Oryctolagus cuniculus: one gene and its partner. The protein of the gene in region 2 binds, or shares a complex with, the protein of the main gene of each other region. Links are inferred from orthologs where the notes say so. Each region holds a gene or a part of one and is shown on either strand. Other genes may lie near its edges.

Region 1 (4,365 bases), on a different chromosome or scaffold from region 2:
GCCAGGAGCCTCCTCCGGGTCTCCCACGCGGGTACAAGAGCCCAAGGACTTGGGCCATCTTCCACTGCTTTCCCAGGCCATAGCAGAGAGCTGTATTGGAAGAGGAGCAGCCGGGACTAGAACCAGCACCTATATGGGATGCCGGAGCTTCAGGCCAGGGTGTTAACCTGCTGTGCCACAGCGCTGGCCCCTACACGTATTTTTTTAAAAAGAGAAAGGTCTGAAGGGGAGAGGTACAAAAGTGGATCTGTCCACTGAGCAACAGGATTATGGATTTAGATTGTTAATAATCATGAACTAGAGATACAGACTAGGAGACATCAGTGTATACTTAATCTAGACCCAGAGAAAAATCAGTTTATCAAATTGACTGAAACTGAGGTGTCAGGTGGAGAATCCAAAAAACAGATGAAAAAAACAGACAAGAATTTCAAACAGGAGTACACAGCTAGTTTCAAATACAGCAGAGGGCAAACCATCTAAGAAGTCGAAGTATCCCCTAGACCACTGCTCTGGGGTTGAGTCAGAGAGAAGGGAAACAACAGGGAACAAACAAACAGCAAGTATAGGCTACTCTGCAGAAAGACTTACACAACAGGACAGGTGGTAAGTAGTAAACTAAAGAGAGCATTTTGTTCGTTCACGCACATCCCTCCCTTTCCCAGCCAAGAACACCTACCTGGATGGGGCATGCCACCTGGTGGGAAGGGGTGAGGATGTGAGTGTCCATGACCAGGATGTCCAGCCCCCGGGGTGCCTGCTGATGGAGGGCCATGTCCTCCAGCCCCAGGAGGCATTGGTGGGGGGGGCATGGCTGGAGGTATTCCAGGTGGGAGGGCTCCAGGAGGCGGCACTGGGGGTGGGAAAGAGCCAGGAGGAGGCATGCCTATATAGAAATCAGAAGAAGGATTAATGGCGGTGGGCAAAGAATGCCTTTAAAGAACCTGTCCCAGTTTGACCTGTCTATGCAGGGTGAGTTCTTGCCCCCTCCTCCCAGTGCTCTAAGGTCACAAGCCATGTTGCACTACTCAAATAATCCTACCTCCCTGGAGAAGCCCGACAGAGTTCTTCACACCCCTCCCACCCACCACCTCCTAACTCCCTTCTCATCACCCACTGACTCAGGAGATCTTCCCTTTCCAGGTTCTTTGTTCTCCTCACTGCAGCCCCAAGACAAACGTATTTGCGAACCAAAAGCTTTACCTGGTGGAGGAAGCCCAGACCCCAGTGATGATACCACAGGGTTGGGAGCAGAGGGTGGAGGGGGTGCATCTGCAAACAGCTGATGTGGGCGATCAGCCTGGGAGAGTGGGTTCTGGGCTGCCAGAAGTCGTTCAGCTGCGGAGCCATGGCGCTCACCCTTGGAGTCCTTCTTGAAGGCATAAGACACGGTGATGGGGCGGTTACAGAGGTACTGCCCATTCATGGCCTCAATTGCTGCATCCGAGGCATCAAATGAAGCAAAATTAATAAAGGCATAACCTTTGGAGTTGCCTGTGTCAGGGTCCCGCATGATCTTGGGGGTTTGTAAGATGACCCCAAAGGCGCTAAAAGTATCGTAAAGCAGCTTCTCGTCAATCTCCGGGTCCAGGTTCCCGATGAAAATGTTGGCCCCGACATCCAGGTTTTTGTTGTGAGCTGATGCCTTGTTCACTCGTATTGGCTTCCCATAGAGTTTGATCATGTTCATGATCTTAATGGCATAGTCAGCATCTTCTTCACTCAAGAATTCCACAAAGCCATAGCCTAAGCAGGCAGAGAGGAGATTAGCAACTAGAGCGAAGATACCCGAAACTGGGTAAAACTCACCCACCCTCCAATCACAAAGAACAAGAAAATGATTTTAGAAACAAACTGTGAACTGAGGATTAAGAGAAAGCAATCTGGGGCCGGTGCTGAGGCACAGTGGGTTGGGCATCTGCCTGCAGCACCAGCATCCCATATGGGCGCCAGCTCAAGTCCCAGCTACCCTACTTCTGATCCAGCTCCCTGCTGATGGCCTGGGAAAGCAGGAGAAGATGGCCCAAGTCTCTGGGTCTCTGCACCAGGGTGGGAGACCTGAAGAAGCTCCTGGCTTCAGACTGGCCCAGCTCCGGCCAGTGCGGCCATTTGGGGAGTGAATCAGTGGATGGAAGGCCTCTCTCTGTCTCTCCCTCTCTCTGTCTGTAACTCTGCCTCCCAAGTAAATAGATAAATCTTTAAAAAAGAGAAAAGAAGAGGAAGCAATCTTCTGGTCGCTCATTCTGAAACAAGTATAAATACCGCTGGGACCCTCAGGAGCAGCTGTCAGATACATAAAGTGGCCTCTTGGCGCGGACTCACCTTGGTGCTGGCCAGTGACTCTGTCCTTCGGCATGTGAGTGTTGACCACCGGTCCTGCCTGCAGGAAGAGCTCCCACAGCAGAGGTTCGCTAACCTTCTCGTCCAGGCCCCCCACGTACACAGTAGCATCTGGAGGGAGGATGCAGGAATTTAGGATGGGGACGAATATGACAGGAAAGGAGCTGACCGGGACATAAAGATGGAACCCAGTTAGAGGAACTGCAGGCGGGGATGTGGGACAGAAGCGAAAAGGGGGAGGTGGAAAGCATCCAAATAAGCCCTAAATCGTCCTCTTCGCAGGACCTAGAGCCCCTTCTGAAGTTCACTTTAGTGTCTGCTGCAAATTCCGTCCCACTCAGAAAAGGCAGCAGGGGGACTGCACGAAACATCACACGTCCAGGCCTCAGCCTGCACCCGGCCAACCCGCCCGCACCAGCCACGGAAGCGAGTCTCGCGCCCTCCGGGGGACGGGGGTCCAGTTTCCCGCCTTGGAGACGCTACTGGCCTTAGCTGGGGCTTCCCACCCTCCCGGGCCCATTCCGGACTCGTCTCCCCGCCCAGTCACCCTGGTTCCGCTCGGAGATCGGCCCGGCAGCCATGGCGAAAAGAATCCCGCCGCCTCCAAGCAGCGGCTCCGCCCTCTGGCCGCGGTCACTACTTCCACTTCCGGGGCGAAGACTTACGTGACGCTGGGCGGGGCCCGGACGGGGGCGGGGCCGGAAGCGGCTGCGGCCATCTTAGGATCCCGCGGGACTTGACGGTGCTGTGGCGTCCCGGTTCAGAGGCGTTTGGATTTGCGCCGAGGTTCCGGGGCGAGCGGTCGTAGCGAGGAGGGCGGGGCAGGAAAGCGCAGGCCCTCTGAAAGCAGTGCCAGACGTCTCCCACCGGTGCGGGCGTTTGGCACAGCGGTTAAGCCACAGCATCCTCAGTCAAGAATTACAGGGTCCGAGCCCCGGTTTCCCCCGACTCGAGCTTCCTGTAAATGCACACCTTGGGAGGCAGCAGAAACCCCAAGTTTGGTCCCTGCCACCCATGTCGGAGACCTGGATTGTTCCCCGCTCCCGGTCTGCGTCTGGCATGGCCCCGACTGTTAGAGGCATTTGGGGGAGTGAACCAGCGGATGGAAGTTGTCTGTTCCTCTCTTTCAAGCTAAAAATAGTAACTCTTCGTGTATTTTGTAGCCAGCTGATCCTTTTGTCACCCAAAGGAAAAGGTTCTCAGGGACCCCTCAACCTAAGGACTCTGCTCCACAAGCGTCTTAGTTTTGGCCTCATGCCTCTGGCTGGCTCGAGGTAATGTCTGAGCCGGAGTGTGAGCAGAATCTGAGGCTCCCCGGATGGAGTGTGACCAAAGCTGCAACTCCAAGAGCACTTTCTGGCCCCAGCAACGTCATAATATGCTCTTGGCTGTCTGCCTCTAAATGGGAGATGAGAATTCTGAGCCTCACGTGGTCCAAATCCATTCCTTTCTTAGAAATCATACGATGGGGACCTTTTCTCAAGTCTTTGCTATCTAGGATCCTTCATTCAAATCCAAGAATCAGTGCCAGCAATGTGTATAAATATTGTGCTTTAATGAACTTAAATAGAAATGCCACTACAAAAATGTACAGTTGGAAGAGAGGGTGTGTTTCATATCCACTTTGTTTCCAAAAGAAACTATACAGGAAGAAACAGAAATTGGAATTAAAATAGGCAGCAAGAAGGGGCAAGAATGAGGTCTTTAGGCCATACTGTTGGAACTGGTGAACAGCGTCTCTGGTGTCACAACTTAAATAGCTGGCTATCTATAAAGCAATTACATTGTGGATTGTTTTGTTTCTTAATTCTTCAACTCCCAGGAAACAACAGCTTCAGGAACCAAATAAAAGGACAAGAATTAAAGATTAGCACCACCGTCCACAACAAACTCAATTCTAAGTGAGTTTGCTTAAGAGCTGGAGTGTGAAAGCTGAGGCAACAAGGCCATATACAAAACACTGCAGTATTAGGACTCTCCCTCAACCCAGATCCCCCGCTGCTCTTTGAGAATGCCAGCAATTTC
Region 2 (4,226 bases):
GACTAGTACGTAATATTTGTACATTTTGAAATGTGTTATTTATTTTTATCTACTTGGAAAACAGAGAGAGATATCTTCCATCTGTTGTTTCATTCTTGAAATGTCCACAAACAAGGTTGGGCTGGGTCAGGCCAAAAACAGGAGTCCAGAATTCCTCCTAGTGTCCCACATGGGTAGCAGGGGCCCAAGGACTTGATCCGTCATCTGCTCCCCTCCAGAATACAGATACAGGAAGCTGAATCAGAAGCTGAGGAGCCACAACTTAAACTGACACTCTGATATGGGGTGCCGGGTTCCCAGTGGCAGCTTAACCTGCTGCACCACAATACCGATCCCTACTTAAACATTTTCATGGGCTATAGTAAAATTTTTCAATATACAAATAGAGCATAAACTAATCAAATCAGGTAATTATGAATCTGCCATTATTTAAATAAAAAAATCTTGCCATTTGTTCAAAGCTATTATAAATCTCCAAAAAGTAACTCTATGTATACATTCACACTTTTAAGTTTTTACACTCATATTCTGCAAGCTAGAACTACTTGCCTGACTCGGATTTTCTTTTTTCTCCCTTCTTTCTGGGATCAGTGGGTTCAGGAGTTTTTCTTTGTGGAGGTTCCTCAGCAATCCTAGTATTGACATCTTGTATGTTTGCCGTAGAACTAGATGCGCCATCATTAGAGAAGCCATAATTGGCCTGATATGTAGCAATGAAATCTTCAGTGATCTAAACAAGAAATTTAGTTCATGCACGTGTGTGCATACACATACAAACACATGCACAGAAATTCAGTTATTTCCACCCATAAACTTCAAACTGTGTCATATTACAGACTATTTGGCTATATAACTTACCATCGAAGACGCTGCGTGAATAATAATTGTAGTTGTAGTGATTAAAGTGTAAATCCAAGAATGGTCACCTGATACAAATACTTAAATTATCAAGACAAAAGTCTGTGGTACTAATAAAGCACTTTAAGTGATGTTGGTCCCTTTTCTAGTTGATGCATTTATAAATTACTACCTCTCCACAGTCTACTGACTAAGGCTACACATACATATAACAAAGGAAATACCAGGTAACAATACGACAGGATAACAACCTACAGTCAACTAATAAGCTAACCACAAAATCCACTTTTTTTACTGTATAGAAGCACACATATATTTCCACTTAATTATTCAATATGTGAATTCAAAGAGCACATAGAATGGAAGTGTGATGTGGCATACAAAGAATGAGACTCATAATTACAAAGCTAAATGATCATTTGAAATCTATCACTAATGAAATCACCATTTAGAATCAGAATCAATTCAGGGCAAATCCAACTAGTTTTGGGGGGAAAATGGACTATTATATAATGTTAGAAAAGTGCTTATAGCATCACACCAATTCAATCAACATTCAGTACACACATGAATGGGGAAAATTTAAAACTCAAAGTTTGAAGAGGTAAGGGCCTCAATAACACAAAAATGTAGAACGATAAATTAATCCACTACCAGACTACTGTTAAAAGTACTCAGAAGGCTGAAGAAAGCCAATTTGCCTCAAGCTGACACTACCTGTACTTTTGTAAAATAGCAAATTTTAAAAAGTTGGAGAACTTTCAATATATACAAATATAAAATGGGAAAGAAAAGTAGAAATGAAGACTTTTTCACAGATCAGTCTAATCACACAATGGAGACACGCTGTGTTTTGTTGGTTTGCATGTCTTGGTGTGCTATTAGTAGTCTTTCTGGCCTCCACAGGAGACTCAGAATAACAGAGTGCTTCTACAGCAAAGTTTACAGAACCAAGTTTCACTAGTTATGTTACTTCCAAGCAGAAATAAAATATCTAACAATTTCTCAGTACTCCAAACTAACATGCACACATCTTTTCCAACCATACTCTGCGCATCCCTCATTGTATTCTTGTGGATGTAAAGTTCAAACATAAATGCCTAAGGACAAACGCAGCAGGCAGAGAAAGCAAGGAGCAAACAAAGTTCATTCAGCACAAGTATATAAACAGCAACTTTTTGTAAACGAAGACATATGCTAAACGTGAATTCCTACGATAAGTGAGGTAAGCGAGGGCGGCTATCTGAGATGATCAGCTACAAAATTTTTTGTGTGTTTTTCCTCTTTGCAATAAAAAAGTCATCAATAGAATAGCCAACTGTGACCTTCACAGACAAAATAAAGCACGGAAAAGGCATTTAATACCCCATTCGAAAGATTTACGTTCCTTTACACATCAACTCTGCAAAAGACACAACAAAAACAAGCGTCACCATCCAGGGGGGTGAGGACCACAGACCTGACTGAGTGAGCACAGCAAATGTAAAAGTGCTCTGTGAAGCTGGCCAGGCGGCCCGCTCTGCAGTGGCGCCAGTGCTACTCGCTTACCTTGGGGAACCAAGCCTTCTTGTCTAGGTCCCACTCGTACGGGGTGTCAGCCGCCTGCTGCCCGAAAGAATCGGGTTCTCCGCCGGGATCGTTCTGGGTGTCACCCTCCTTGGTGTCTCCGTACAATTCTTGCATTCGCAACTGCTCATCAAACTCGTCGTTCCCACCCAAGTTGTTGCCGCTCATGTTTCCTACCTAGCCCAGAAGCAGGGTTCAGACGAGCGAAGAGGCCGAAATGACGCCAGAGAGGGGATCTGAGAAGGAGGTCGGCCGTGCTCCGCTCCCGCCCCGCGGCCCCCCGGCCCGCCTCCCCACGGCGCCCCAGCAATCCCCGGGAAGTCGGGACCGCTCGCCGCCGCGCCGCCCCTCGCTCCGCGCGGCTGTCCGCCCGCCCACTGCGCGCGCGCGCGCCGATCCTCTCAGCTCGGCTCCGCCACCGCCCACCTGGCTTGAACCACCGGGCCTCGGCGGCGCCGCCGCTCGGTCCAGGGCGCGGCGAGAGCGCGCACGCGCGCCGCCGCCACCGCCGCTCGGGTCTGAGACGACTGCAATTCTCGCGGCAGCGTCAGGAAATGACTTCAAACGGAGCCCTCCTCAGGCTGACGCAGTCGCCATTGTGGGCGCGGTGTGACGTCCTGTGTCGCGCCGACACGCCTACCATGACGTCAAAAGGTGCCGACGAAGGCCTGAGGCGCAGGGTCCGGAGGGGCGGGGCGCCAAGGAATGCGCGGCTGTCGTGCGTTGATGACCACCAGGCCCTTCCTGTGGACGAGATGAGGTCCTTTAGGGCAATGCAGTCCCTTGGGGGCCTTAGGCCCCGTGGGTCTTCGGAAGGTTCGGCCTGGCTGACCTAGTCCGGGCGGTACCCCAAAGGAAGGTGTGGGAATACTGCCTTGCAGTGGGCGCCATCTTGGGGGAGTGGGTGGGACCGGCAGGACAGGTTTCTCTCGCTTCCTTAAAACGCAAAAACGTCGCGTCTCCGTCGCCCAAAAACTCTTCCCTGCTTCGGTGTCATGTCTTTTACTTATTTGTTTCTGATTGCCCTGGGATAGGCTCCGGCTCTGGCTCATCTTGGTAGCCTAATCACCTGCTGCAGGATTTGCTGTCTAGTGTGCAGTGACTGAATGAACGAACAAACCAAGGATAAGCACAAGGATCAACCTTTGCCTAATCTCAGACTCCTGTTTGATCGTCTCATGCCTTCCTCTGGACGAAGAGTTGGACTCTGCCTGCCTCGTCCTCCAGGATTCAGAAGTGCTCAAGCCCCAAACTTGAAACGTAAACATAAACATCCCAGTGTAAACACAACCTGTGCTGGCCCAGTAACTTTGTCTTTCCTTTAGAAAGATACAGCACGCTTTTGTTCTAAACAGAACTTTTTTTTTTCCCTGCAAATTACTTGCTTTGCTGAAAACGAAGAAGTCCATATTTGTCACTTGGTATAACAGTTATTGAACTAGTAAGTGTCAGGCAATGTACTAGGCTCTGGTGACTCAACAGTCAACAAGATGGGCACAGCTCGTGGGAAACAGGCTCAGGAAGGCTAATAAATCTGACAGGAGAGGTATGGGGTGCCAGAGACAGTGGTTCTCAAACTTTCTGATCACAGGATCGCTTTACTCCCCCAAAATACTGAAGAGTCCAAAGAGTTTTTGTTTATATGGTTTATATTTACCATTATTTCCAAAACAGTCATTTTAATGAGTATTTATTAGTCCATTTAAAAATGACAGCCCGTTAGGTGTTCATTGAGGATGGAGAAAAGCTCCTCAGAAAAAATTATTTCTACTATTCCAGTGACATTTGCTTCGAAACTTAGC

What was found. The genes of interacting proteins can lie anywhere in the genome.
Region 1: HTATSF1 (region 2) and SF3B4 share a complex: the UniProt entries of both Homo sapiens proteins name them as parts of the 17S U2 SnRNP complex. The link is inferred for Oryctolagus cuniculus from reciprocal best matches to the Homo sapiens genes HTATSF1 and SF3B4.

What each region holds. Positions count from the first base shown.
Region 1 is NC_091438.1:48,025,852-48,030,216, reverse strand, and holds the start of SF3B4 (splicing factor 3B subunit 4), read right to left. Parts: upstream 3,011-4,365; 5' UTR 2,922-3,010; coding exon 2,888-2,921; intron 2,452-2,887; coding exon 2,323-2,451; intron 1,747-2,322; coding exon 1,204-1,746; intron 887-1,203; coding exon 680-886; intron 1-679. UniProt on the Homo sapiens protein: Component of the 17S U2 SnRNP complex of the spliceosome, a large ribonucleoprotein complex that removes introns from transcribed pre-mRNAs.
Region 2 is NC_091453.1:114,293,417-114,297,642, reverse strand, and holds the start of HTATSF1 (17S U2 SnRNP complex component HTATSF1), read right to left. Parts: upstream 2,985-4,226; 5' UTR 2,851-2,984; intron 2,602-2,850; 5' UTR 2,593-2,601; coding exon 2,407-2,592; intron 731-2,406; coding exon 550-730; intron 1-549. UniProt on the Homo sapiens protein: Component of the 17S U2 SnRNP complex of the spliceosome, a large ribonucleoprotein complex that removes introns from transcribed pre-mRNAs.